Canis lupus familiaris: one gene and its partners. The protein of the gene in region 2 interacts with the protein of the main gene of each other region in a pairwise test. Links are inferred from orthologs where the notes say so. Each region holds a gene or a part of one and is shown on either strand. Other genes may lie near its edges. The genes, in order: ZNF639, PNKP and TRIM37.

Region 1 (10,012 bases), on a different chromosome or scaffold from region 2:
GAGAGACACGGAGAGTCTCAAGCAGACTCCACTCTGAGCTCAGAACCCCATCTGGGGCTCAATCTTATGAACCTGAGATCTACAACCTGAGTCAAAACCAAGAGTCAGTCACTTAACTGACTGCGCCACCTAGGCGCTCCTGTAGTGAATATTTTATTTTAAAAATGAATGATGGGACGCCTGGGTGGCTCAGACGTTAAGCCTCTGCCTTTGGCCCAGGGCATGATCCCAGGATCTGGTATTGAGTCCCACATCAGGCTCCTTGTAGGGAGCCTGCTTCTCCCTCGATCTATGTCTCTGCCTCTCTCTGAGTCTCTCATGAATAAATAAATAAAATATTTTTAGAAAGAAAGAAAGAAAAAAGAAAGAAAGAAAGAAAGAAAGAAAGAAAGAAAGAAAGAAAGAAAGAAAGGAAGAAAGAAAGGAAGAAAGAAAGAAGGTGGTCTATATAAGACACTGCTAAGCAGAGAGGTGGAGCAGACTGGAATTCAAGGTCTGTGGAAAAACAATATGATAAACAGAATGAAGCCAATTTTTGTGAGGACAGAAGCTTATGCGAATTGGGAGAATTAAATTGTAAGAAAAAGAATACTAAATTATAAATACAAAATTTTATTTAAATACAAAATTATACAAGAATATCAGATTATAAATACCTCATCTTAGAAAAGGTTCATGCAATTGAGGGGACTTGAAGCCTATACTTTGTTTCATTCACAGTAAATTCATGTCTGATGATAGGTAGACCAATGTACCAAAAATACTGTGGAGTCTCTAAAGAGTGATCAGAGATCTCTGCCAGGAAAAATCAAAGATTTCACAGAAGAGACAAATAAATAAGAGATAAATCTCTTATCAAGAGATCTTGATAAGATCAAGAGCTTGATCTTACAGACAGAAGCAAGGTAAATAAATTACAGGTGGAATAAACATGCTGAATGAAACACACAGGTGAGAATAGAGCCTATCTATGGAATAGTAAGAAGTGCTATTTGGCTAATGTAGGGTTGGGCAGGGAAAGCCTTAGGATAGTGACTCTCGAAGTGTGATCCTGGGGCAACAACATCAGCATTTTTCAACTCCAGCCCAGATTTATCCAATTAGAAACTGGGACCGGTGCACAGATAGAGAACTGCTGGTGATTCTAATGCAGTTAAATTTGAAAACCAATGCCTTAGGAAGTTAATTGAGCAGCAGATGAAGCTGTCCTTACAAATTTAATTTCAGGCTGTTATACAAGATAGAAATGAGGGGGGAAAAGGATTATGACAGAAAGAGAATGGGTTCTCTTTCTCACACCTCAAAATAAATTACAAATAAGCTAAAAAGTTAAAGTAAAAAATTCAACCATATATTGGGTTAGAAGAAAAGATTATTTCAGCATAAGGTGAATAATAGACTCTGTAAAGGAAAAGATTAATAGACTCGATTTCACAATTCAAAACATATCATTAACAAAATTGAAAAGTAAACAAACTAGAAAGAAATATATGGAACATTTATCTCAGGTAAAAAGCTAAAAATTTTAGCTTTCCTTAAAAAGATTAACAGCCTGTAGAAAAAACAAAGGACATTCCCTGAAAATTCTCAAGGGAAATACAAACGACCAATAAACACATGAGAAAACATTCAAGTTCACAAAAACAAATACAAATTAAAATAGAATACTATATTTTATTTACCAAATTAGCAGACCATGGTTTAAAGATAGAAACAACTGTATGGTTGCTTATAGTGGAATTCCAAGGTGCCATTAACATTAATAGCATAAAATATATTCAGGCGATAATAAGGGGCTGTTTTTTTTTTTAATTTTTAAAACAAATTCTGAATGAATGGATATAGATTTAAAAAAAAATAGGGATCCCTGGGTGGCGCAGCGGTTTAGCGCCTGCCTTTGGCCCAGGGCGCGATCCTGGAGACCTGGGATCGAATCCCACGTCGGGTTCCCGGTGCATGGAGCCTGCTTCTCCCTCCTCCTGTGTCTCTGCCTCTCTCTCTCTCTCTCTCTCTCTGTGTGACTATCATAAAAAAAAATAATAATAATAATAATGTGCAGCTCTTGGGCAAAATGCTACCATTGGTTAGCTCTGGGTTGTAGGATTATAACTTTTTCTTTTGCTATTTGTACTTTGATATTGTCTCCATTATGTGATAAAGACGTATCCCTATTCTAAGAAAAAATTAAACTAGGGATGCCTGGGTGGCTCAGTGGTTGAGCGTCTGCCTTCTGCTCAGGGATCCAGTCCCACATCCCGCTCCCTGCAGGGAACCTGCTTCTCCCTCTGCCTATGTCTCTGCCTCTCTCTGTGTCTGTCATGAATAAATAAATAAAATCTTTTTAAAAATTAAGCTACACTATAAGTGTGGCTTTAAAAAAAAAAGTTGGAGAAAATGATGATTCAAGGGGCACCTGGGTGGCTCAGTTGTTTGAGCGTCCGCCTTTGGCTCAGGTCATGATCCCAGCATCCTGGATTCTGCCCCAGGTGGGGACTCGCTGCTCCTCGGGGAGTCTGCTTCTCCTTCCTCCTGCTCTTGCACTCTTTCTCTCCCTCTCAAATAAATAAATACAATCTTTCTTTAAAAAATGATTCAATACCCCTTTGGCCAAAATTATATTAGAAGATAGCAAACTCTACAACTCCGTACTCTCTTTTGAGATTTTAGGGTTTCATCCGTGCAGCCACCACCGTCCCTTAAAAGGAAGGAAAGGAAGAGACGGATGCAAAAATGAAACTGGGAAATGTACTCCAGCTAATCAAAATAGCCTCTGACCTGTGATTATGCTAAAGGACAAGTAAGCATTGTGATGCTCTTCTCATTTATTTCTCTGGGAAGGGAAGATAGGGTGGGTTGGTTTGTTAATTCAAGTAATGTGCTGGGCTGGGGGAGGGGGCGTGTTTGCTCTTACAGCAGAATGTTTTTAAATAAAACTTCAGCCTAGAATGTAAAGATTTTGGCAGGAGGCTACGGATGAGCAACACAGTAACTCAAAATGATCCCATACCACCCCCTTGTGGCTTCCACTGTGTCACATCGGGGAACAGCCCAACCAGCTAAGCATGCATAGCGTTCTTCATAAATTCAACAAACACGTGTCCATTCCCTACTCGGTGGCAGGTACTAACTATACTAGAATTTTAAAATGCCACTAAATCTCTTGTACTTCATCCAGGCCATGCCAGCATTCGTGAATATTCACTTCTTCGGGCTGAGTACACACGCAGAAGTTGAGGTCATAAAGACTGAGCATCGCAAATTGGTGTCTCTTTAAAATGTGGCTTTACCTTCTGGGCTAGAGGTGAAGGTATGGGAGTAAGGTCTGTGATTATTGCTCTCCAGGGTGTGGTTGGTTGGGTAGCATGCGGTGATCAGAAAAGCCACCGCGGATGTGGATGAAAAGACATCGATTGCAGCCCCTACTCTCAAAGTGACCTTGAGCACGTGATAACCCGCATGGGCCTCCTTCATCTACTTAACAATTATTTGAACCCGGGCGCTGAGGGTACAAAGATGAATAAGACCTAGTCGGTTTAGCGCCGCCTTCAGCCCAGGGCGTGATCCTGGAGTCCCAGGATCGAGTCCCACGTCGGGCTCCCCGCATGGAGCCTGCTTCTTCCTCTGCCTGTGTCTCTGCCTCTCTCTTTCTCTGTGTCTCTTGTGGATAAATAAATAAAATCTTAAAAAAAAAAAAAAAGATCTAGTCTTTAGACCCTCGCTTTTCTAATGTGTTAACTGGGACTGACAACTTCAATTCACTATCAGAGATCAAACATATGACCACACTTCGACAGGCATCTTCATTTCTGAAACCGTGTTCACAGGTTCCCGTATGCTTGTTCAATTTAATCCTCTCCACCTCTGCTCATAGGAGCTCAAAAATCCGAAAAGGAACGAAATCATCTAACCGAATCCCCTATAAGTTCACATTCATTCCACCGGGATTCGTGGAACCAAGGAAGCCCTAATAATGACTCGCGATCCTCAAGCTTTCCAGCCTCCTGCCCTTGGGCACGGCGCTCGCAGCCCAGCGTCGTTCTTTGGTGGGGCCTCGGGGAAAACCCTGAACCCGCCGTCGCCTTTCCGTGCCCGGCAGGCGGCTGCCACTCTGCGGGCGGAGCTGCCCTCGGCCGGGCCTCCCCGTGCAAGGCCACTGTCGCGCGCCCCCTGGAGGAGCAGCCGGGTGGGAAAGGGGCCGCGAGCTGCAGCGCTATCCCGCTCCTCGGGCGGCGGGGCGGGGGCGGGGGCGGGGGCGGGGGCGAGTTCCGTCCGCGGCCTCGCCCGGAGCGGTTCTAGGAAGTGGAGTCACCCGCCGGGCTCCGGAGGGACGGGACCCCGCCCGGAAGAAGCCCGCGGCGGCGCACAGGTGCCGGCAGGGGGCGCAGGCCGCCGAGCCACCCCCGGGGCTCCCGCCGGTGGTCCCTCCCAGGTCCGCTGTGCAGCGTGGCCGCGCCGCCGCGCCCCGGCCCCCCGCCCCCGGCCCCTCCCCGCGCAGTCGGCGGGCCCCTGAGGTGCGCGGCGCAGGCGCGGAGCGAGGCGGTGAGTGCGGCCGGCGAGCCTGGGCCTGGGGCCTGGCGGGCAGGGCGAGAGGCGCGCGGAGGGACGGGGGCCGCCCGGGAGCGCCCGGGAGCGCGAGGGCCGGCGGCCCCTCCGCCCACGCCCGGGCGCCGCCGCGGCTGGGCGGGTCGGGCGGGCCCCGCGGTCGCAGGGAGCGTGCGGCGCAGCCTCCCGCGGGAGAGGCCGGCGCAGGCCCGACGGCGTCCTTTAAAATGAGACCCTGCCTCGGCTTTCGGGCGGGATGGCGGCGCCCCGCGGGCCGAGGCAGCCGCGACCCGCTCCCCGCACGCGCGCGCACGCGGAGGACGCCTCGGGCCTCCGCCCGCCGCCCTCCTGCTGGCTGCTTTGGGGTCGCCTAGGCGGCCCGTGGGCCCGGCGCGTGGCCGGCGGCTCCTGCACGGACGCCCCTCGGCGGCCCGCGGCGCCTGGGCTCGGGACCGCGGGTGCCCGGCTGGCCCGGCCGGAGCCCTGGGCCCTCCTCGCGGTGCTCAGACGCCCCTTCTGGTTTCTTTCCTTTTTTTTTTTTTTTTTTTTTTTTTTTTTCAGTACAACCTAGGGACGCGAGTAGTTTGAAGCAGTTCATCTCATTGCAGAGAGGTAAAAAACGTGTCCTTTGGCAATGCTGACACTGGAGTCGGACGTACCGTGGGCTCTGGTTCAAGACCTCTCCTGAAACGTTTTTGCGTTTGTTATTTTTTTAAAGATTTTATTTATTTATGCATGAGAATACACAGATTGGAGAGAGAGGAGAGAGGCAGGCTCCATGCGGGGAGCCCGGCGTGGGACTCAACCCGGGGTCTCCAGGGTCACGCCCTGGGCCGAAGGCGGCGCTAAACCGCTGAGCCACCCGGGCTGCCCATGTTTCTGTTATTTTAAACTCTGGAGAGCATATACTTATCTTGAAATGAGGGTGAAAAAGAACTTGCTTTGAAAACCTTATTGGAAAGATGAAGCTTTTGATTGTAAATACTTGGTTTATTTTTGTACCACTTAGAGAATATTTGTATTACGTGAAAGGCTGTTGATCTCTTTGGTGAAGATACTGACTGCCTGTTTTGTGGCATTTTGCACGTTGTTGGGGGGAAAAAAATGACAGGTGGAGAGATGCCAATATGTATTTTGTAAGTTGCTTTTTGAAAAAAAGTAGTACTGCATGTGGCATGGTGTCATTTTTGTAAATGTGAAATATATATGGATACCTTGGCATAGGAAACTGTCTAAATGTCTATCAAAATGTTAGCAGTGGTTTTTCTGCGTGAATAGATTCGAGGTGATTGAATTACTTTCTAACCTCTCTCCTCATTTTCCTGCAGTGACATGTATTCTATGTGTAATTTATTATATGTGCTGCCAAAGCGAGGACTTCTATGTGTAATTCATTAAGTGGGGAAAAGGAAGTGAATGATTAGGTCCATGAGATTCAGAATCTTCCCCATGAGAGGAAGACCAGTGAGCAAAATGTTCATATGACATCTTTTAGTAAAAAGCCAAACTTCTTCATCAGGGCAGTTATGTATACAAAAAGCACGTAAGAATATGTGCTGAAATGAAGGATAGTATTTCTGGTCTTGAGTAGGCATATTAGCATTCATGCTAAAAGGAAGTCTGATAAATATTTGGATATTGTTCGGCCTCACGTCGTAGTCAGAGCTTCCCTGATCAAGGTGATCCTGTCCTGTTCCTCTCATCCGACAGTCTGAATCCAGGCCAGCTTGCAATGTTAATTCTAATGCTATACTTGCTTTCCTTTCCTTACTTTTTCATTCTTCAAGTTGGAAAGAATTTAAAGTGTATTCTGAAATAGCAAGAGGTTACTTTAATGTTTGGCTGACAGTTTTCATTGTTCTCCCTGATAGTTTTAGAACATTTAAAACATGAAGTGTAGCGCTCTGGGCTGTATAAATTCTAGAGGTGTGCAGAAGAGGTATTAGGAATAAGTCTTGAAGTTTTAGTTTATTATATAATAAGAAAATTTTTATTTTCTTAATGCACTTGATTGGGAAGGGTTTAAGGAATGCTATTTGTGTTCAGGTGAGCCTTTATATAGAGAGAGACTATTTCTATAAATCCACTGTTGTTGGTTTCTTTGGGTGATTCCCTTCCCTTTCTCCCAATTGGTGGTGGAATAAGAACTGGAAGATGTAACTTGCTGGTAATAGTGATTAGCAATGAAAATTACACAGAGTTGTTCGAAACTCGAGTCAGAAGACAGGCTTTTTCAGTTCTGTTCTGCCGCTTAGTTGACTGGACTTTCACTGAATCTGCTTCCTCATCTGTGAAATTGGAGTGAGTTTGATAGTAGCCCCTCAATGTACCTCACAGGATTGTTGTGAAGATCAAATAAAATAAGAGGAAAATGCCCAATAAACTAAAAAGCACTATCTTATTACTGCATGATCACATCACCTATAGTGCTAATTAATATAGCCAGAACTTAGTGAAGTAGCAAAAACAGTGTGTGCACCTGAAGTTCCTTACCATTAAAAACAAGATGAGCTCAGTAATGATACCAAGTTATACCTGCCATGTATATTACTTTGACAGTAAGAAAAGCAGCATATAATGCTAGTGGAGAAAACATGTTTCTTTTTCTGACATCCCTTACTTGCCCACTTCTGTGAAAGAACACTAGCCTGAAATGGAAGAGGAGATGTTGATTCTGACACTAAGTTGTTACTTGAATTGGAGTAATCTCTTTATCTCCCTATTTGTTTCCAAAGTATATGCTTTAAAAATAGATCTTTATTCAGTTCTAACCCTACCACTTATTAAGAATTGCCTTGACTTAATTTTACTATGCCTCAGTTTTCTCATCTGTAAAAGGTAAATAATTTTGAGAGGATATTGTATATTTTTCATGTTATAGGATTAAATAAGATAAAGTATGTGCACAGCCTGGCACATGATAGGTGTTAAATAAATGGTCATTGTTCTTATATTGTTAAATAACCTATAAGGACTGAGTATAAAGTCTGATTTGGTTCACTTTCATTGTATTTGCTTTCATTATGGCTGAATAAATGAATCAGATTTATATTCCTATTTTGCTGTTAAATTATAGCTTAAGCTTTACAAAGTAAATTCATTTCAAAGAACAATGACACATGTATACACTCACATAGTTATCAGTTTTTAGTGCTTAATACGGTATATTCAAAAGATTATTTATACTTGAGTTAATTCCGTGTAACTTTCCAGTTAATTAAAGACCTGGTGCCATTGTATTTTTGAGTCTCAGAAGTGAGCTACATTTTTGCTTGTATGACTTCTGTTGTGTTTTTTTTTCTACAGGCATTTTTTACCATCTGTGAAAACTTCCTTGTAATTCATTTCTCCTCCCTACAGTATTAAGAATTATACCATGTAAGTGGAATGTGGAAAACCAATTAGTCAATTTTATAAGAGTCCATGGGAATCTAATCATTTAAAAATTAAACAAAAGTTGTTACCTGCTTTGTCCTAAATAGAATGTTGAATATGACCTTACAAGTAAGAAAAGTATTTTTTTTCTTGGAAATTATATTCTGAGCTTCTACGTGATGAATATATTTTCTGGAAGCCTGGGGATAGATACAGATTTGTGACAATATTTTTTAAGGAAATATATACACTTTTAGCTTGAAAACTGCATCAAAATACTCCCATTTATAAGAAATATACTTGTTTTATTCTTAAAAAGATGCCATAGCAGCAATTTTTTAAAATAAAAAATAAGAGTATAGCTTAGTGTAATTATCCAGTTCTCACAATTACATCAACATCTGAAGTGGACTTCTCAACGTCACCAAGAAAAAAAACAGATTTTGGTGTCCTGCCTTTAAACTTGATCAGAAAAAATAAACCTAAAATATAAATGGAGGCATTTCTCTTACAAAGTAGATTTTCAAGTGGCACACACATTTCTTATTACCAATAAATTCTTTGTTTAGGATGAATTTCTATAAAATATTAACAATATTCATTTGTGGTATTTTTGTTAAATTTTTCCATTTTTAGATTGAAAAGATATGAATGAATATCCTAAAAAAAGAAAAAGGAAGACATTACACCCTTCTCGTTACTCAGGTCAGTGATTATTTTAAAGCTGGACCCTGGATTAATTCCCATGCAATTGCATTTTTATCAATTTTCTCATAAATGATCAGATAACAGTTAAATATCTGGGTCAATTTTTAGGTAAGAGAAAACTTCAAGTTCTCTGAATGTATATTCATCTGTCTACCATGTGCTAGGTACACATCAGAACTTTACAGACATTATTTAATACTTAAAACTTAATGGTTGAAAGATACTTAAAAACAGATATCCAAAGTTCCACACTTACACAGCATAATTGGGATTTGTGTAATTCCAAGCTTGTTCTTAATGTACAGCATTAACCTTGATGGAAGATATTTGGATTATTGGGGAAATTTTTTTTTTTATCCTGTACATTATTTTCAGAAATATGAACTTTATTTTTATTGTGTTCCTTTGGGTCCTCTGGTTGAGGTTGGCCCTGCTATCTTGGCAGTAAGAAAGGTCTTTGACTTCACTCATATGTGGAATTTAAGAAACAAAACAGGAGTATAGGGGAAGAGAGGGAAAAATAAGACGAAATCAGAGATTTAAGAGACTCAATCACAGGAAACAAACAGGGTTGTTGGAGGGGAGGAGGGGCGGGGATGGGGTAACTTGGGTGATATACATTAAGGAGGGCACATGATGTAATGAATACTGGGTGTTATATAAGACTGATGAATCACTGAATTCTTCCTCTGAAACTAATAATATACTATATGTTAATTGATTTTAAATAAATTTTTTAAAAAGAAAATAAAGTATATGTTAGTGAAAAAAAAAGAGGTCTTAGTGGCCACCTATAACTAATCTCACATATATATATATTTAAGACAGTCTCTGGCATACCTGTTAGCCTACCCAAGCTACACATTCTTCGTATCTGAGGAAATCAAGCCTGGTTTACTGTCTGAGAGGGTCTGTATGCCTTTTGCTTTCTCTTCAGTACATGGCAGATCTTCTTGGTAGTCAATTCAATGTTTATAACTTATAGAATTCTGACAGGCAAATCTATCTTTGTGTGCTTCAAGTGCTATTTTGTAAATCGTGTAGTTTGTGGTTTTTTTCAAAGCTCAATGTCAATATCAAATCTGAAATATAGAAGCTTTCAGAAATGAGGGAAATATTAATACTTTATTACAAATTTGAAAGTGTATATGTTAAGGGATGGCTGTTATTAAATGTATATATATTTACTTGAAAGTTTTAAAATTTTGCTCTTATTTTCAGATTCCTCTGGAATAAGCAGGATTGCAGATGGATTCAATGGAATTTTTTCTGATCATTGTTATAGTGTTTGTTCTATGAGACAACCAGACTTAAAATATTTTGACAACAAAGGTATATATAATATTTTCCAAAATATCCTTTAAGTTGTATTTTTATATTCTTGAGA
Region 2 (9,835 bases):
AAGGTAGGAATTACAGAGGAGTCAGGAATGCAGGCCACAGCTTAAGGGAGCCACGGGGAAAGCAACTGGCTGTTTTGAGGGGAATCAGGAGGTTGGATACTTCAGAGAGACTGGACTCTATAACATTAGGGCTTTGGAGAGTGATTAGGAGTTTGCGGGAGGGGTGTGTGTGCCCTAAGTAGGACTTACTCCTGTGTTGTCACCATTAATGCTTGCTTCTTCATTGTTGCTGGGGGAGACCCGCATAGGATTCAGGGCACAGACTCTGGAACCAGGAGGCCTGCATTCAAATCCTAGTGACTGAATATGCTGTACGAGCAGCATTATTAACTCTGGAACTTTGGGCAAGTGATTTGACTTCTCTTGTGCCTCCTGGTCCCTCTTTGTCAAACAGGGATCACAGTTGGCTCATGTTCTCTCCGTCTGTATTTTGAGTCCTTTATCCCAAACAGATCTTGCAGATTTCATGTTTATCCAGCCAGTTGTTTTCACCTGAGGGCGTAACAGACAGAAACTGGATTTGTTTCTGCCGATGACCAGGCAGATAACCAAGGGGGAGGGTGTTTGAGGCAGAGGGAATAATTCCAGAAGCCCTGAGGCTTTTGAGGGACCGGCCGATGCAAGGAGTGGGGAGATGGTGGTGGTGGCACATGGGGTACAGCGGGGACCTGACTGGCCTGAGTCACTAACCTCATCCATAGGGCTCTTTGTAATGGACGAGGATGCCACACTCCAGGACCTGCCCCCCTTCTGTGAGTCGGACCCTGAGAGCACAGATGGTAAGTGTCCCAGGCTGTCCCCACTCCGCCACCCCCAGGGTGCTGGGATGAAGGCAAGGACAGAGGCTGAAGGCCATTGTCTCTCCCAGATGGCAGCCTGAGCGAGGAGACCCCTGCTGGCCCCCCCGCCTACTCCGTGCCCCCGGCCTCAGCCCTGCCCACACAGCAGTATGCCAAGTCCCTGCCTGTGTCCGTGCCCGTCTGGGCCTTCAAGGAGAAGAGGCCAGAAGCACGGTCATCGGATGAAGAGAATGGGCCGGTGAGGGGCAGAAGGGAGAAAAAGAGGAGGGTGCAGGGAGGGACTCAGAGCCACTTCCTCCAGGAAGCCCTCTGGCATGGAAGCCACATTTCCTGGGCTTGATCTTGCCCTCCACCTCAGGAGGCAGATTTTTGGGCCAGAGCCCTAAAGCTTGAACTACTGCAGCCTTACAGTGTACCCCAGTGCCATGGAGAAAAGCCTCTTCTGGGTTTTAGGAACAGCTTCATTTATAGAATACCTGCTCCTGGCAAGGCACAGGTGTTTTGGTATCCCCTTCAGAAGGGGAAACTGAGGCACAGAGGGGTTAGGTCATCTTCTGTCCCCACCCTGCGTGTTCCTGGCTCCTCCCCTACCTCCTCTTTCTCTGGCACAATCCTTCAGGTGGCTTTCCTGGCCTGGCCTGGGTGGCTCCTCCTCACCCAGCGCTGAACTTCCCTGAGGCACCGGGAGTATCTGTGACTTCCCGGGACCTCAGCTTGGAAAGGGCAGAGCTGGGATTGGAACCCAGCCTCCTTTTGGAAAGGAGTTACAGACTGCAAGGGAGGCAGCCCTGGAGTCCCATGGTCATCGTGTGTCTCTCTCCCCCGCGCGCCCCTGCCCCCCCCCCCCCCCCCCCCCCCCCGTGTCCTCTTTGACACATTGGCAGCATCCATCTGCCGTCTGCCTGTATTGCCAGTTAACAACATCTGAGGCCTGAGAGGTGGGGGCGCTGGTCTGACCTCTGAACCGGCTCAGGTCCAGCCTCTGTCCGTGTGGCCTCTCCCATTCTCCTGGAGGCTAGGCCCAGCTCAAGGTGTGGGGCCAAAAGGGAGATTGCCCTAATTGCTGGAGCAGACAGAATGACAGGGCCCCTCCTGGGTGGAGGCCATCGTGAAACCAGGCCCCTTCCCTATAGCGCTGGCAACGTGGTAGCTCACACTTCTTGAGCACTCACTGTGCTGATTGTCTCAGGCGCTGTCATCAGCTGCGCGTTTTAAAGGGGAGACTGAAGCCTCAGGAGATGAAATGCTTGTTGACAGCTAGTCATTGGCAGAGGCTGGATTGTTACATGACTCAATGCCAAGCCCAACCCACATCCTTAGACATGACACCCCCTGGTATCTAGCCTTGATAGCAGAGAAACAGCACTTCCACTGTGTAAGAAGGAACTGAAGGATAGTGGGACGGTTAGCTGTTCTTGCACGTAGAGTTAGGCCAAGAAGGGAAGGAAGAGAGGGCCAGGAAGGCTTCTTGGAGGAGGTGGTATTTGGGTTGGTTAGAAGGATCCTACAAGGAGCAAGATAGGGTAAAGGGCCTTCCTGGCAGTAGGCAAAAAGTGCTGGGGCGGGGCCGCGGCGGGCGCTGACCCCGCCCCGGTCTCGCAGCCCTCTTCGCCGGACCTGGACCGCATCGCGGCGAGCATGCGCGCGCTGGTGCTGCGGGAGGCCGAGGACACCCAGGTCTTCGGGGACCTGCCGCGGCCGCGGCTCAACACCAGCGACTTCCAGAAGCTGAAGCGGAAATACTGAGGCCCAGGGAGAGCGCTTCCAGGCCCAGCGTCCGCCCCGCCCCACACTACACCCCTGCCCCGCCCCTGGGCCCGGCCAATCCGAGTCAGACCCGGGACCGGCTTCTCAGGTTCCCGGGGTCCCAGGATTGCCCCTTCCCCGCCAATTCCCGCCGTCCTTCCAGCCCACGACCCCCTCTCGCGCCGAGGAGCGGGACCTATCTAGTTTCCGGATTGGGTCTGTCGCTGCATTTTTTTTGCCCAGCGACAGATTCTTTCGATTAAGGGATTGGCTCGCTCCCGGACCGGGGCGTGGCTAGTTTTAAGCCCTCATAAGGGTCAACTGTCGTTTTCGCCCAGTGACCAGAGCTTCGCTCGCGCGGCATTGGTTGAAAAAGAACAGCCAAGCCACAGGATTGGGGAGTGGTAAGCCACTACAGCCTAGAGAGTAGGCAACTTCATTTGATTGGCTTGAACGCAAAGGGCTTGACCAATCTCCCGGAGTCGCCAGCCCACCCTTCCTAGTTTGTCCCACCTGATAGGCTCCAGCCCTCTGGGGGCGTGGCCAAACCCTCCTAACCCCAGGATTGGCCTGCGGCCTTAAATTTACGTTCTTTACACTACTGGGACTGGGGTCGCTTTTGACCGAGTCCTGACTATGTGCCCCTCTACCCTCTCCCAGGGATGGCCCAATCCTGTCCCTGCGTCTGACACCCTCTTCGGTTCCATCCCACAACAGCCTGCCAATCGTAGTCCGTCCTTGCAGTCAGGACGGCACCAGCTCCCGCCCCTCTCCCTCCACCCCCACAGGTGCCTTAAAGGGCCCTTGTCCACCCGAGGTGGGGGGCAGGGGCCCTCGCTCTCCGGCCCTTGTGTGGGGAAGAGAGTCGTGGGTGGGGATCGGGAGTTGGGAGCGGTGGTCTGAGATTAAAAGAGTTTTACCTCTGACAAATGAGTATAGAGTGTGTTCATTCAACACTTTGAAGCCGAATGAGCAGCACCTAGTTGACTTTCAGTGTAAAGTTGGGAGTTGGAATTACTGTTCCCATTTTGCAGATAAGAGATTCATGGGGTTGTAGGGGGAGATTCCAGTTCTGTGTGACCACTGATCCCCGATCTTTGGGGGGGATGAGTGTTGGAATGTGGTCTTCAAAGCATCAGTGTTTGGAATCCACTCAGTCTCGACAGCCAGAAGCGACCAACTGAGGCCAGAAGTTTTCTGCCTAATATAAGACAGCTGAAAGTTAGAGAACAAATGGCACCTGGTCCGAAGTCTGGCTGGGCCAAGTAAACCTGGAATCTTCCTCTCCCATCAGACCACCACCTGGGACATGCTAGCAATAGACAAGACTTAAACAGAACTGCCAATCAACCACTTTTATAAGACTAGTTCCATCTAGTAACTCTTCCTAGTAACCCCATGAAGGGGAAACGATTATTCTCACTTTAAAGATGAGAAAATTGCAGTATTGAAGGTCAGGGCTGCTGTCAGGGGTGGACATTTCTTGGACTGATGATCTTCAAATGAAAAAGAAGTGTGTCCCGCTGTAACTAAGGGAATGAAATGTTAAAAGAGTTCCAGGTGGAAAGAGGAAAATCTGTGAAAGAGGACCCACACCCCCTACTGGTCGGAGCCTCCCACTGCTGGAGGAGAGAGGAAGGTCAGAGCCGCCGAGGGCCCGAAGGAGCAGGTGGTCTGAGAAGGGGCGGGGCTTCCGTCGTGGGCGGAGCCAAAGCCCTGCGCCCTGCCCCCTTCCGTAGGCGAGTCATTTCCGTCCGCCGAGGAACAGAGAAAGCCGCCGGCGAGTTGTGGGCAGAGCGCCTCGGGCAGGAGTTCCCTGGTCGCAAGTGGGAAGTGAGTCCCGGTCCGGTACGGTGATTGCGGGGCCGAGCTGGGGGCGGGCGCGAGGTTCTTGGCTTTTGCCCTGGAATGTCCCGGTCGGGACTCTCCGCGGGACTGAGCGGGGCGTCGTCGCCCGGGAAACGGCGCGAGCCAGAGGCCGGCGAGGGGGTGGGATTTCCGGAGCCCTAAGCGGAAGAAGGGAGAGTCCTGGTGGAGGGGCGGGGGGAGGCGGGACTTGCTGTAGCAGTTTGAGGGCGTTCTGCCACTCAAACCTGTTTACTTCCCCTTAGGCTGGCTCCTGGGATGGCCGAGGTGGAGACCCAGGGCCGCCTGTGGCTGGAGAGCCCCCCCGGGGGAGCCCCCCCCATCTTCCTGCCCTCGGACGGGCAAGCCCTTGTCCTGGGCCGGGGACCCTTGACCCAGGTTACCGACCGGAAGTGCTCCAGAAACCAAGGTGGGCGGGGCCGTAGCTGTAGGGATTGTGGCTCGCTCTGGAGCGTGAACGTGCTCTGCGGGAATGGTGGGCAGCCGGTGCAGTAAGGGAGCTGCTTGGCCGCCAGGCGAGATTGCGTGGTGTAGCTCGTCCTGCAGTTAGGTGCCCTCGGGGGAGCATAAGAAGAGAACTGCTGTGCCTGGTCTGGAACTAGCCAGACCCCTTAGTGGGGAGACAGTTGTCAGAGGACGATGCTCACAGGAAGGCTTAAGTCAGGTCATGACCCTTGCCAAGGAGAGAGCCGATGCTACGGTGAGAAGTAGCGGTTGCTAAGCAGGGCGAGGTGGTAACGAGCGTAGCCCAGGACCTGCACCCAGTCACACGCCTCATCAAGGAGAAATCAGTTCTGTACAGAAGAATGCCTCCTGCCGCTGGGCGAGGACCGGCGTCACAGGCTATTCTGAGGCCTCTCTCTGACTACTGCATGTAAAGAGAGAGCCGACCCCATTTAGAAATAAAGTGCTTTCCCGTCCCGAATGGCCTGAATGTCCCCATCCTGTGGCCTGAAGCTGGCCAAGCTCCCCAGTAGTGAGGAAGGCCGTCGCACAAGGATGCACATTCTCACTCCACCCTCTCAACCCTCAGTGGAGCTGGTCGCAAACCCCAGGACCAGGACCGTGGCAGTGAAACAGGTACCAGTTGCTCAGCAAGGCGCAGCGAGGCCTGGGGGAGGAATGGCAGCCCAGCAGGGAACAGGCTCATTGGAAAAACCCGGTTTGAGGGAAGGGGACGTGGCCAGCAGAGAAGGTTCGGGGTATTGCCATTTTCAACGCGTATCCATCCACGTTTGAATTGGGTTAAGGCTGGACCACAGTAACTCTTCCACGTCCCTGATTGGTGGTACGCAGTGAGGAGGCGGGGCTTAAGGGTCTGATTGGCAGGTGGGGGAAGGCTGTCCTTCCTCTAATTCGTGGAGGTTCCGGTTGGGGGCCGGAGCCAATCCCGGCTCCTCCTCCTCCTCCTCCTCCTTTTCTCTCTCTGTCTCTCTCTGTCTCTCTCTGCAGCTGGGAATTAACCCCTCAACTGCTGGGACCCAGGAGCTGAGTCCGGGATCAGAAGGTTCTCTGAGGGTGGGGGACACGCTGTACTTGGTCAACGGCCTCCACCCGCTAACCCTGCGCTGGGAAGAGGCCCGCACGCCTGTATCCCAGCAAGACACTCCACCCGGCACCCCTCCCGTGGCTCCCCATGAGGCAGAGGCTGTTGAGCCACAGAAAAAACGCATGCGGAAGTCATCCCCGGGCTGGGAGAATTTCGAGAAGCTGCTAGTATTTACAGCACCGGGGGTGAAGCCTCGGAGCAAGGTGAGAGCCAAGCTGAGGGAGCCACACGGAGTTGGGGCTGAATGATGTGTGCTGTGTGCCCCTGGGCCATTCAACCTCTCTTAGCTGCCACTTTTTTGAGAAGTGGATCTGATGACAAGTTCAGAGGGTGTTGTAAGCCCTGGGGGCATCGATGTATGTCAGCTCCTGCTTGAGCCCCAGAAAGCACAGTAGTGAACACCATCATTTTCACAGGGACCCAGAGACCTGACCTCACAGTTCCCCCCCATCCCCCCCGCCCCCCAGTCCCCTGTAAAGTAATAAACCCAGAAAAGCGCATGGCTCAGTCCTCTACATGTGGTTTGCACCCAACTTCACTCCTGTATTCATTTTCACTGTTATTAGCCTGAAGTGAAGGCCAGGGGAGGTGGGTGAGTATGACGTGAACCCCATTTTAAAGGCTGGCATACCCAGGGGCATAGGAGAAATAGGAGATGGTACAGTGAAGATCTCGGGCTCTGCACTCAGGTGGTAGGGACACATTCTTCCTGTGCCTTCCCCTAAACGTAAGATGTGTAGGCTGTGACTCAGTTTCCCATTTAGTGACGGGCAAGTGGTAATGTCTCTACGTTGCAGAGGTGACGTGATGTAGCCTGTGAGTCGAGATCAGAGGCATAACAGGGTCGCTGTTCCTCTTTTCTTGCTGACATCAGGTGGCTGGCTTTGATTTGGACGGGACCCTCATCACCACACGCTCTGGGAAAGTCTTTCCCACCGGCCCCACCGACTGGAGGTGATAAGAGGCAGACCAAGGGGGTGAGTGAGGCCCCCGTGGGCCCCAGGTCACCTACCTGCTTTCCCACCCACCCTAGGATCTTATACCTGGAGATTCCACGTAAGCTCCGGGAGCTGGATGCCGAAGGCTACAAGGTATGTGTGCTTTTGTGCATGGAGACCAGGCCACAGGGAGGCTGGGGCCCCACTGAGAAGGGCACCAGGTGACATCCATGCTTCCCCCCCCCAGCTGGTGATCTTCACCAACCAGATGGCCATTGGGCGCGGGAAGCTGCCGGCAGAGGAGTTCAAGGCTAAAGTGGAGGCTGTGGTGGAGAAACTGGGCCTCCCCTTTCAGGTATGGCTGCAAGGGAGCTTGAGTCATAGAGGTTGGGGGACAGGGACCCAGACAGAGGCAGGGACAGAGTTAGTGTCACGGTGTCAGACCGTGACAGAGAGGAGGGAACAGAGACCCAGGGAGAAGGCATACGTACCAGAAGGCAGTGGAGGCCCCCCGGCAGGGTTATGCTGGTAGAAACCCATCATAAATGGGTTCTTGGGCATCTGGAGTCCTCTGGGTTGGTGAAGGGGTAGCATCCCTGGCACCCATGCACCCTCGAAGGATTTGGGGAAGGAGCCCAGGAGGGTGTCTGACCTTCACCCACAGGTGCTGGTGGCCACACACGCCGGCTTGTACCGGAAGCCAGTGATCGGCATGTGGGACCATCTGCGGGAACAGGTGAGTGGTGGCCTCCCAGTAGCTCCCTTCTTCCCTCACTCAGCCCAGCCTCCCCCTGCCACAGGTCTCTGCTGTTTGGCCACCTCCTCTCTCCTCTTCTCATCTCATTCCCTGGTCCTTGCCTCCTTTTCCACCAGTCCCAGTCTAGGTACAGGCGGACAGCACTCTTCAACTCTGAAGATCAGGATGGTCCAGGGACACATCAGTTGTCCATGTATTCTCTTGTGTGTGCCTTTGTTCTGAAGCTCAACAGCTTCTTGAGCTGAATTTGTTAGCGTATGAGACAGACCTGCTGGGGCTCACATACCAGCGAGGGTGCAGACTAGAGGTGCACAGACTGGGTGTGAAATGGTGGGAGTGAAGTGAGGTGAGGCAGGGTTTACCTACAGGGGTTAGGTAGGCCTCTCCAAGGTGCCCTTGTAATTATGAAGCTAGTGAGGGAGGGAGCCTCGCAGGGGAACCTAGGAAGAGCTTCCAGGTGGGAGTAACAGCATGTGTAAAGCACATGTAAAGGTCCCGAGGCAGGGCTATGACTAGTGTGTTCAGGGACAGTGAAGAGGCCTGGGTAGCAGGACCTGAATGGATGATGGGGTAAGGGTGGGGCGTAGGGTCAGAGATCGGGCAGGTGTCAGATCGTGAGGCCTTGTGGGTAAGGTAAGGTCTTCCCTTTTACCCAGCCAGGGGGCAAAGGGATGGGGCCCAGGAGGGCTGGGAGGAGAGGAATCTACAGAAGTGGGAACTGACACCCCCCTGGTGGCTGTGTAGGGAACAGACGCAATGGGGATGGAACAGTGAAGGGGGGTAGGAAGTGGCCCAGCAGTGGCAGCGCCACCAGGATATGATGCTGAACTGGGGCAGGAGAGGCCAGACGTGCCACCAGGATATGATGCTGAACTGGGGCAGGAGAGGCCAGACGTCAGGCCCAGCTCAGCATCCTCGCAACCCCCATTAGTATTCTAGGGGAGCAGGCATGGGAGTGGGTGGGTTCCTTACTGCCTGTTGTCACCTGTCCCTCCCTAGGGCAACGAAGGTGTGCCTGTCTCCATCGGGGACAGCATGTTCGTGGGAGGTAAGGACCCAGGGATGGGGAGTGTGTGGATCCCCTCGGCTGGGCCGCTGGTGGACATGGAGCTGTCTTCTGTCCCAGATGCAGCTGGACGACCAGCCAACTGGGCCCCTGGCCGAAAGAAGAAAGACTTCTCTTGTGCAGACCGTCTGGTGAGGCTCCTTTCCCCTGCTGGCCTGGAGCTGTGTCCCCACCTTATCTGATGTCTGTGTCCCCTGTCGTCCCCTCCCCGCCAGTTTGCTCTCAACCTTGGCCTGCCCTTCGCCACACCAGAGGAGTTCTTTCTCAAGTGGCCCGTTGCCAACTTCGTGCTCCCCACCTTTGACCCGGTGAGGCCTTCGGGGTGGGAGTGGGAGTCGGGAGAGGAGGAGAGGGTCTTGCTCATCACTACCACCCCTCCCAGAGAACCGTCTCCCCCTCGGGGCCGCTTTGCCTCCCGGAGTCCAGCTCCCTCTTGAGCCACGACCCTGAAGTGGTTGTCGCCGTGGGATTTCCTGGGGGTGAGACACCTTGACCCCTTGACCTCAGAAGCCCCAGTCCAGCTCTGGGTCCTTGGGCCCCCACTGACCTTGCCCCTGCCTCACAGCTGGCAAGTCCACCTTCCTCCAAGAGCATCTTGTGTCAGCAGGATACGTGCACGTGAACAGGGTGAGACAGGCCCCCCCCCAATGTGCCCAGGCTGAGCGCAGAGTCCCTGATCCTTCCATCTTCTGTGCCCATTCCCTACCCCACCTAGGTTCTCCCTAGGTGTCTGCTTCCCTTGTTTCTCCTGCCCTCTCCCACTCAGGGTCTGTCACCTTGTATCCCCCAGGACACCCTGGGCTCATGGCAGCGCTGCGTGACCACGTGTGAGAATGCTCTAAAGCAGAGGAAACGGGTTGTGATTGACAACACAAACCCAGACCCTCCGACCCGGGCCAGGTACTGGGCTCCCATGGGCAGCCTCTATAGGGTGGGCTCAGCACCCCTTACCAGCCTGGCCCCTTCCTGGCCCCAACAGGTACATTAAGTGTGCCCGAGACGCAGGTGTGCCCTGCCGCTGCTTCCTCTTCAGCACCACCCTGGAGCATGCACGCCACAATAACCGGGTAAGCTGGCCCCTGCCCCTGCCGTCCCGACCGCCTCCAGGCCCCC
Region 3 (9,224 bases), on a different chromosome or scaffold from region 2:
GGTAATTGTGTTTTTAATATTTTGGGGTATAGTTGGCAAATAAAATTGTAAGATACTTGAAGTGTACAGTGTGATGATAGACATATGTATGTATTGTGAAAAGATTCCATTGAGTTAATTAACACATTCATCATCTCACATGATTACCTTTGGAATATGTTTATGTTAAAAAATAGTCTTAAATTTCTGAATTAGAATATATATACATATTTTTTCTCCAGTGCTCCACTCCAGCTAAGAGAACTAGTGAACTGTCGTTGGGCAGAAGAAGTAACACAGCAACTTGATACTCTTCAACTCTGCAGTCTCACCAAACATGAAGAAAATGAAAAGGACAAGTATGCCCTCAGTTTTTTTGTTCAAATATTTCATAGATATTGCCATATGTTACTTTAATGATACTATTGAAAGTTTCTTTTTCAGTTTATAGATGAACATTTAAGTATTTTTCTTCTGGCATGGTATGGGTATCACTGTTTTGAAAGACGCTTCTAATTCTTGATTGGCTGCTTTTATGAGAGCCTCTCATAAAAGGAGTGAAACTGCTAATGTTTGCTAATCTCTCTTTGCTCTTTTTTTTTTTTTTTTTTTTTTTTTAAGAATTTTATTATTCATAAGAGACATAGGCAGGGACATAGGCAGAGGGAGAAGCAGGCTCCCAGTAGGGAGCCCGATGTGGGACTTGATCCTAGTAGAAGCTCAACTGCTGAGCCACCCAGGCGTCCCTCTCTTTGTCTTGTTACCTCTTGGTCCCTTTTTCCTTGGTTTGCTGAAGGTGCATATATGCCATTGATAAAGAATTGTTCCGATAAATTTCCTATATTATAAAAGGGGTGTTCTAAATTTGGTAGTGTGGAATCATGCTAATTGAGCTTCCAGATAGTATCTAACATGCTGATTTTTTTACACTTTTATTTCCATTTGGTATTCAGATTACTTGCAAATGAAAAATATAAAATGTAGACCTATTGATGCATTTAAGTTCAGGGTACTTTATTAGTGAGAAGCTTTTGTTTTATGATTTATTTATTTGGGATAGAGGGAGCATGCAGGAGGAACAGCAGAGGGAGAGGGAAAAACAGAGAAGCAGACTCCCTGATAAGTGTGGAGCCTGACATGGGGCTCAATCTCTCACCCCTGAGATCATGACCTGAGCCAAAATCAAGAGTCAGATGCTCAACCAACTGAGCCAGAGGTGCCCCTAGTGAAAAGCTTTTTAGGAAATGCAACTATGGGGAAGCCTGCGTGGCTCAGTGGTTTAGTGTCTGCCTTTGGCTCAGGGCGTGATCCCGGGATCAAGTCCCACATCAGGCTCCCTAGGGAGCCTGCTTCACCCTTTGCTTGTGTCTCTGTCTCTCTCTGTGTCTCTCATGAGTAAGTAAATCAAATATATATTTTTTAAAGAAATGCAACAGTGTGTCTCTTTAATAGGCAACCAAAAACTTAAAAAATTTTTAACTATAGTAAAATACGCTTTATATAAAATTTACTTCTTAACCATTTGTAAGGATACACTTTAGTAGTGTTAAATATATTCATATTGTATACCAATCTCCAGAACTTTTTCATCTTGCAAATCTGAAACTCTCTACCCATTAAACAATAATTACCCATTTCTCGGGATCCCTGGGTGGCGCAGCGGTTTGGCGCCTGCCTTTGGCCCAGGGCGCGATCCTGAAGACCCGGGATCGAATCCCACGTCGGGCTCCCGGTGCATGGAGCCTGCTTCTCCCTCTGCCTGTGTCTCTGCCTCTCTCTCTCTCTCTGTGACTATCATAAATAAATAAAAATTAAAAAAAAAAAATAATTACCCATTTCTCCTTCTACCAACCTTGGCAGCCACCATTTTATTTCCTGCTTCTTCTAGAAGTTTGACTGCTCTAGATTACTCATACAAGTGAAATCGTACAGTGTTTGTCTTTTTGCTACTATTCCTTGATTTTGCATAATGTAGTTTATATTAGAATTTTATTCCTTTTAAAGGATAATTAATATTCCATTGTGTATGTGTATCACATTTTGTTTATCTGTTCATCTATTCATGGACATTTGGATTGCTTCCACTTTTGGGCTATTGTAAATAATGCTACTGTGACCATAGGTATTCATCTTTTCTAGACCTTGCCTTCAATTTTTTCTTTTTAAGATTTTTAAGTGATCTCTACACCACAACATGGGGCTCAAGATCAAGACTTGTACGCTCTGCTCTATTGGTTAAGCCAGCCAGGCATCCATTTTTTTGGAAATACAACCAGCAGTGATATTGCTGAATTATATGGAATTCTGTTTTTAATATTTTGAAGAACTTCCATACTGTTTTCCATGGCAACTGCATCATGTTACATTCCCACCAACAGTGTACAGGATTCCAATTTCTCCATCTTTGCCCTAGGTAGCCATCCTAATGAGTATGAGGAAATATCTTGTGGTTTTGATTTACATTTATCTGATGATTAGGATGTTGAACATCTCTTTGTAATGCTTATTGATTATATGCACATCTTTGGGGAAAAATGTTAAGTCATTTGCCCATATATATTTTTAAAAGATTTTATTTACTTATTCATGAGAGACACAGATAAGCAGAGACATAGAGGGAGAAGTAGGTTCCTCGCAGGGAGCCCAATGCAAGACTCTATCCCCAGACTGGGATCGCGCCCTGAGCTGAAGTCCACGCTCAACCACTGAGCCATCCAGGCATCCCAATTTGCCTGTATTTTAATCAAGTTTTTTTTTTTCTTTTGTTGAGTTGTAAGAGTTCTTTATTTTGGATATTAACTCTTTATCGATACATGCTTTGCAAATAGTCTTTTTTTTTTTTTTTGCAAATACAGTCTTATTCCATAGATTGCCCTTCCAATCTGTTTATTGTGTCCTTTGATGTACAGAAGTTTTAATTTTTTTTTAAGATTTTATTTATTTATTCATGAGAGACACACAGAAAGGCAGAGACACAGGCAGAAGGGGAAGCAGGCTCCATGCAGGGAGCCTGATGCAGGACTCGATCCCAGGACTCCAGGATCATGCCCTGGGCCAAAGGCAGGCGCTAAACCGCTGAGCCACCCAGGGATCCCCTCAGAAGTTTTAATTTTGTAAAAAAGATCTGTATTTTAGAGAGAGTGCACAAGTGAGGGGAGGCAGATGAGACAGACAGACAGACTCACTCTTATACAGACTTCACACTCCAGCATTGTGCTGGATCTCATGACAATGAGATCACAAACTGAGCTGAAACCAAGAGTTGGATGCTTAACTGACCGTGCCACCCAGGCACCCTCAGTTTTAAATTTTGATGTAGTTCATTTTATTTATTTTTGTCTCTCTTGCAGGTGCTTTTGGTGTCAGTAAGAAGTAATTTTGAAATTCAGTATCATAAAGCTTTTCCTCTATGTTTTCTTCTAAGAGCTACATAGTTTTAGATCTTTTATCTATTTTAAGTTAAATTTTGCATGTTAAAAGCTAATGGTTTTTGTCTGCTAGGGCTGCCATAACAATATCACAGACTGGGTGGCTTACATAATACATTTATTTTCTCATAATATTGGGCTTGGAAGTTTAAGGTCAAGGTATTAACGACTTGGTTTCTGGTGAGGCCTTTTTCTTTGACATGGTGGGGTTCCTCCTTGCTGTGTCTTCACAGGGCCTCTTCTCTGTGTGTGAAACTTCTGGTATCTTCCTCTTCTCGGACTGATACCAGTTTTGTTCGGTTAGGATTCCACCTTTAGGACCTCATTTAACCTTCTTTACCTCCTTAAAGACCCTATCTCCAAGTACATTTATATTGGGCTTCAACATAGGAATTTGGGGAGGATGCAATTCAGTTTATAACCAGGTCCAAATTAATGTTTTACACGTGGATATCCATTTTAAGGGGAAATTCATTTTTTAAAATTGAAGTGCTCATTTCTCATGAGAGTATGATATTATGTGTGTGTCTTGATTGTTAGCATTGGCCACATGTGGGACAAATATTTTTATATGTATATGTGTTCATGTAGGTATGGACTCGTGATTTGTTTATAAGATAGAACTTACAGTGATGCTAGGAAATGATGCTATATTTACACTTTATTTAGAAATTAATCTGGGCAGCCCCAGTGGCCCAGCGGTTTAGCACCGCCTTTGGCCCGAGGTGTGATCCTGGAGACCTGGGATCGAGTCCCACGTTGGCCTCCCTGCATGGAACCTGCTTCTCCCTCTGCCTGTGTCTCTGCCTCTCTCTCTCTCTCTCTCTCTCTCTCTGTATCTGTCATGAATAAATATTTTAAAAAATAAAAAAAATTAATCTGCATTTGTCACAATTGTATAGAGTCTTTATAAATTAATGAAAACAATAGTTTAAAAGATTTTGTGTTCACATATGATTTTTTTTAGCTTATAGAAGCATGGAATGCATTTTATATTGTTTCCTGAGTTATAATCTGTTTAAAATTAACTTGTTTTCTAAACTTAGGAATTTATTCAGTAATTATCATATAATTTTAATTAATTTAAGCTATATTTTCTTTTCATAATATATAGATGTGAAAATCACCATGAAAAGCTTAGTGTATTTTGCTGGACTTGTAAGAAGTGTATCTGCCATCAGTGTGCACTTTGGGGAGGAATGGTGAGCAGAAAAAATTTAGCATATTACTTTTAGCTAGAGACTGGAAAGCACCAAAATACTTGTTAGATTTAGATAGAAAATATTATTTTACTCTGCTTATAGATTGAAATTTAAATGCATCTGATTTGTAGCAGAAGGTATCACATACACCATAAACTTCTTTTGTGGGAGATATAGATTTGGAATGTGCATTGCTTACATAAATACATTATTTTAGTTGGAAAAATAGAAAATGTATATTTGTAAATCTTTTATTGTAGGATCAAAGTCTTATTTCTGATTAAAGGACAGTTGATCTGATGTCCTGGCCACAATTTCCAGATTCAGTTTCAAATGAAACAATTTTAGATATTTGTGAAACAATATGAACGCAAACATCTTGATCTTATGGGTTTTTTTTTCTTTTTTCCAGTTTAATTCAAAAGTAGTTTTTAAGGCATTGTACCTTTTATCAAGTCTAAAACACTCAAGTCAGTTTTCCTGTAAACAGCCTTTGTTTCACAGTTTCACTGTTTAATTAATATTTAAATTGTATACCTATGTACTAGGTGCAATTCATGTAAATAGGCTTGAGAACAAACCCAATAGGTTTTTGGTGGGGAGAGTTAGTTGTAGTGGGAGCAGAAGTTGCTAGACAACTAGACATAGCTGTTAGCAATAAGAATTGATCATTCTTGGGGTACCTGGGTGGCTCAGTTGGTTAAGTGTCAGATTTCTGATCTTAGCTCAGGTCATGAGTTCAGACTGAGTTGGAACCTACTTAAAAAAAGAAAAGAATTGATCATTTTTTGGGTATCAGCATATTTCAGGGAGAGAATGACAGGCAACATGGTTCAGTAGAGCTCATTTTAGAGAGTTTTCTGCTAGGATTTGAGTACTAATGTTCTGAGTAGAAAAAACTGAATTCTTACAATTTAGTACTTAATTAAATATGTGGATTTAGTAAGAAGCAATGGGAACATTCTTTTCTATATTTTAAGTGGACATACAAAAATCTACATCTTTTTTATTTTAGAGACCATGGTTGGGTGCTTTTGTTAAACAAGACAATGCTAAGAACTTACCTGTTAATAGTAAGGTTTTGTGGTTTTTTTTGTTTTAGGCTTTATTCATTTTAGAGAGAGTGGGCACAAGTGGGAAGGGCAGAGGGAGTGGGAGAGACAATCCCAGGCAGACCCCACGCTGAGCACAGAACCCAGTGTGGGGCTCAATCTCGTGACCCCAAGATCATGATCTGTGCAGAAATCAAGAGTTGGACACTCAAACAACTGAGCTACCTAGCAGAAGGAGTTAATTTTGCAAAGGCCTAGTGAAAAGAAATTTGAAAACATGAAAAAGGGTAGTTAGTGCTGACCAAGAAGAGAGTGGCAAATAAAGTTGTGTCAGATGGTTTGAGCCATGGTTAAAGATTTTGGTTCTTTCTAAGGAATACAGATTTCTAGATGAGTGTAAATGTTTTCCTGAAATTCTTTATCTGTAATCATTAAGGATTTCCTATATGGGCCAAGTGATCTTGAGAAAGCTCTTGTGGATTTTAACAAAGTAGACAGCCAAAAAAAAATTCATTTGAAAATATTTACTAGTTTCTTAGTATCCACGAAGTGTTAATAAAGAAGTATGAGTGGTTGAGGTAAAAAAAAATGTTCTAAAACTATTCTTAATTTAAATAGCATGGTGGACATACCTTTAAACCTTTGGCAGAAATTTATGAACAGCATGTTACTAAAGTGAATGAAGAAGTGGCTAAACTTCGTCGGCGTCTCATGGAACTGATCAGCTTAGTTCAAGAAGTGGTAAGACTACGACTGAAAGATCATTATCCATTGTATAGTCTATCTTATGTAATATATGTATTTTTACAATACAAATAAATTAATCGAGATTAATCTCGATCGATAATCGAGATTATCGAGATTTAAAAATTTGAGAAGATATATTTATAGTCAGTTTCACCAACTTCAAACTAGCTGAGGAATTTGCATCCAAACCCCTGGCCTGTTCCACATTTGGAACCAGAAAATTGCCTTTTCTTATGCAGAAACAGAAAATCTGTGAATGAGTTAAATAAGCCTGTTTGATATAGTCCATAATCGACTTGTAAATAGTATTGACTTTTACAAAGTCATTGAGTCATTCTTTGGACCCTCAGCTTTTGGGAGAGTTTCTGCTACCAATGAATGAACTATTTCTGATGTCTTGAAGTAGAACTCTACAGAATTGCAAGAGTGATATTTAACACTACTCTTCAGATACTTTATAGGTCAAACAGATTTGGTTGAGTTATTTACCACTTATTATTTATATGGGGAAATGTGATACAAGTTTCAAACATTTAAGTACTGAATATACTTTTTTTTTCTTTCTTTTAAGATTTTATTCATTTATTCATGAGAGACAGAGAGGCAGAGACATAGGCAAAGGGCGTAGCAGGTTCCCTACATGGAGCCCAAGGCAGGACTAGATCGCTGGATGGGGGATCATGCCCTGAGTCGAAGGCAGATGCTCAGCCACTGAGCCACCCAGGCGTCCCCTGAATATACTTTTGGAATTGCTGGAATGCCAGTTGTAGCTAGTGAGGTTTGGGGCCTTTTCTGATTTAAGATATCTTTACTTAACCCTTTCAGGAATCAAGATTCAAAGCATTATTTTATAACATTTTTTTTTATACAAAAAGTTTCTGAGTTGCGTATATGCTACCTACAAAGTAATCTTGGAATATAAATAACTTGAATGTCTTCTCTTTGGACTTCATCTAACTCCTCTTTTTTTACTGTTATTTTCTCTTGGCAACTTAATTTGATCTTTAGGGAGCATGTCCTAACTTTGAAATTCTCACTGCTTATATTTCTAATAAGCATAGGAAAGATTACTTTTTATTTTTAGTGGTATGCTTTAAGAGTCTGCAATGTGTTCTGTAATCTTTGAAAATCCTGGTTTTTTTTTTTTTTCTTTTTCTTTCTCTGTTCTAAAAAATGTTTTAAACTTTGTAAACTAGAGTACATACAGTGTTTGAAATTTTTCATTTGTTTTAGTTTTACATGATGTGAACCTGGCATCAGTATACTTTTTTCTTTTTGAATAGTGGTTTTTTTATCAGATATGATTGGGGCTTTGAGTATTTGTTTTGTATATGGTATTTGAACCAGAATTTTGTAATTACGTATCTTTCACTGTTAAAAGAGCCTGTACTTTATTGTTTTGTTTACTTTTAAGAATTTTGTTCCTGCTTCATTTCAGTGCACGATTTTTTAAAGCAGTGAGTTGCCTATGATATATAAACAATTTAAAAGTATGATTGTATTACAATTTTTAAAGAGGAAATCAGCTTACTTTAAGAATAATTGCAGTGATTGTGTTATGTCTGTTTGCTTCTGTTTTAAAAATTCAATTTTTTTTTTACCTGTTTATCTTCTAGGAACGAAATGTAGAAGCTGTTAGAAATGCAAAAGATGAGCGTGTTCGGGAAATTAGGAATGCAGTGGAGATGATGATTGCACGATTAGACACACAGCTAAAGAATAAGCTCATAACACTAATGGGTGAGTGTTTTTCTATGCTGTTGTAATATGTGGTGCTTTGAGCCTCCTTGAAGTTCCATCTTGAAAGGGTAAAGGTTGGTGAGTTGTTATAGGCTAGGAAAAGATGGCCTTTGAAAGTAAAAGTTCCACCTGTTAAATGTCCCTCTGAATCAAATAACGTTACACATAATTAATATAACTCCCATTAACCCCATGGATATGTATGCTTCTAGTTCTTTAGGCTAGTGATTTACAATGAAAATGGCCTGGTTCAGCAGCCATGGCTTCCTTGTCATCATCTTTTTTTTTTTTTTTTTCTCCCGACATCTAAAGCAGTTTCTTCCTTCTCTATAGTAATTCTGTACAGTAATACAGAATTACTAGTAATACAGAATTCTCTATAGTAATAATAAATTATTATTATGTTCTTTATTCTTGTGTGTTTCTAGTTTCTTGAGACTATTCCTGTTTGGGCTTTTTGTTTTGTTTTTGTCTTTGCCTTTTTTTTTTTTTTTTTTTTACAGATTCTTATGTTTAAAGAACATACCATTTGTTGACATGTAGTGTAACATTTGGCCAACTTACTGTATTTCTTTTTAAGCCACATTTAAATTCTGGGAAAGAAGTACTTCAGAAGAGTTGATTTGAGTAAAAAATGTACTCTTTTATATATGTTTGTATTCTTTTAGAAAAAGCAGTAATAGTTTCCTTAGAGAATATATTGTCATTGTGTATTCCTAGATGAACTTAATAGATCTGAATTGCAATTTGTCTAAAACTGTAGTTAAGGTTGATTCTGAAATCCCCTTGTCAAAGCTACTGCAATATTAGATTAGGCCTTTTAAAGCTCTGGGGAAATTTTTTAGGGTAGCTTTAGTGACCTTTTATTTACTTGAAATCAATTCCTTGTTATTGACTATGTTCAGTGAAAGTTAATTTCATTTTTAAACCAGTAATGAGGCTGAGTGTTGGTGTTTTGCTGTCTTTTAAATAGGTCAGAAGACATCTCTAACACAGGAAACAGAGCTCTTGGAATCCTTACTTCAGGAGGTAGAGCACCAGGTAATGAAATAATAAATGTAATGAAATAAAAGTTT

The links.
Region 1: the proteins of PNKP (region 2) and ZNF639 interact in binary tests that used the Homo sapiens proteins (3 or more experiments, as listed by UniProt). The two-hybrid records come from large-scale screens. The link is inferred for Canis lupus familiaris from reciprocal best matches to the Homo sapiens genes PNKP and ZNF639.
Region 3: the proteins of PNKP (region 2) and TRIM37 interact in binary tests that used the Homo sapiens proteins (3 or more experiments, as listed by UniProt). The two-hybrid records come from large-scale screens. The link is inferred for Canis lupus familiaris from reciprocal best matches to the Homo sapiens genes PNKP and TRIM37.

Annotation. Positions count from the first base shown.
Region 1 is NC_049255.1:12,933,324-12,943,335, forward strand, and holds the start of ZNF639 (zinc finger protein 639), read left to right. Parts: upstream 1-4,459; 5' UTR 4,460-4,539; intron 4,540-5,103; exon of another isoform or gene 5,104-5,154; intron 5,155-5,317; exon of another isoform or gene 5,318-5,678; intron 5,679-7,848; 5' UTR 7,849-7,920; intron 7,921-8,553; 5' UTR 8,554-8,564; coding exon 8,565-8,622; intron 8,623-9,846; coding exon 9,847-9,957; intron 9,958-10,012. UniProt on the Homo sapiens protein: Binds DNA and may function as a transcriptional repressor.
Region 2 is NC_049222.1:107,367,367-107,377,201, forward strand, and holds the start of PNKP (bifunctional polynucleotide phosphatase/kinase), read left to right. Parts: upstream 1-4,234; 5' UTR 4,235-4,379; exon of another isoform or gene 4,380-4,394; intron 4,395-4,657; 5' UTR 4,658-4,670; coding exon 4,671-4,821; intron 4,822-5,445; coding exon 5,446-5,492; intron 5,493-5,864; coding exon 5,865-6,164; intron 6,165-6,835; coding exon 6,836-6,915; intron 6,916-6,994; coding exon 6,995-7,052; intron 7,053-7,146; coding exon 7,147-7,254; intron 7,255-7,563; coding exon 7,564-7,635; intron 7,636-8,655; coding exon 8,656-8,704; intron 8,705-8,782; coding exon 8,783-8,853; intron 8,854-8,937; coding exon 8,938-9,030; intron 9,031-9,104; coding exon 9,105-9,201; intron 9,202-9,287; coding exon 9,288-9,349; intron 9,350-9,512; coding exon 9,513-9,622; intron 9,623-9,701; coding exon 9,702-9,789; intron 9,790-9,835. Other genes in the region: AKT1S1 (proline-rich AKT1 substrate 1), read left to right, coding at 702-779, 869-1,038, 2,403-2,546. UniProt on the Homo sapiens protein: Plays a key role in the repair of DNA damage, functioning as part of both the non-homologous end-joining (NHEJ) and base excision repair (BER) pathways.
Region 3 is NC_049230.1:33,631,459-33,640,682, reverse strand, and holds part of TRIM37 (E3 ubiquitin-protein ligase TRIM37), read left to right. Parts: intron 1-221; coding exon 222-338; intron 339-4,521; coding exon 4,522-4,609; intron 4,610-6,279; coding exon 6,280-6,402; intron 6,403-8,024; coding exon 8,025-8,148; intron 8,149-9,121; coding exon 9,122-9,189; intron 9,190-9,224. UniProt on the Homo sapiens protein: E3 ubiquitin-protein ligase required to prevent centriole reduplication. Probably acts by ubiquitinating positive regulators of centriole reduplication.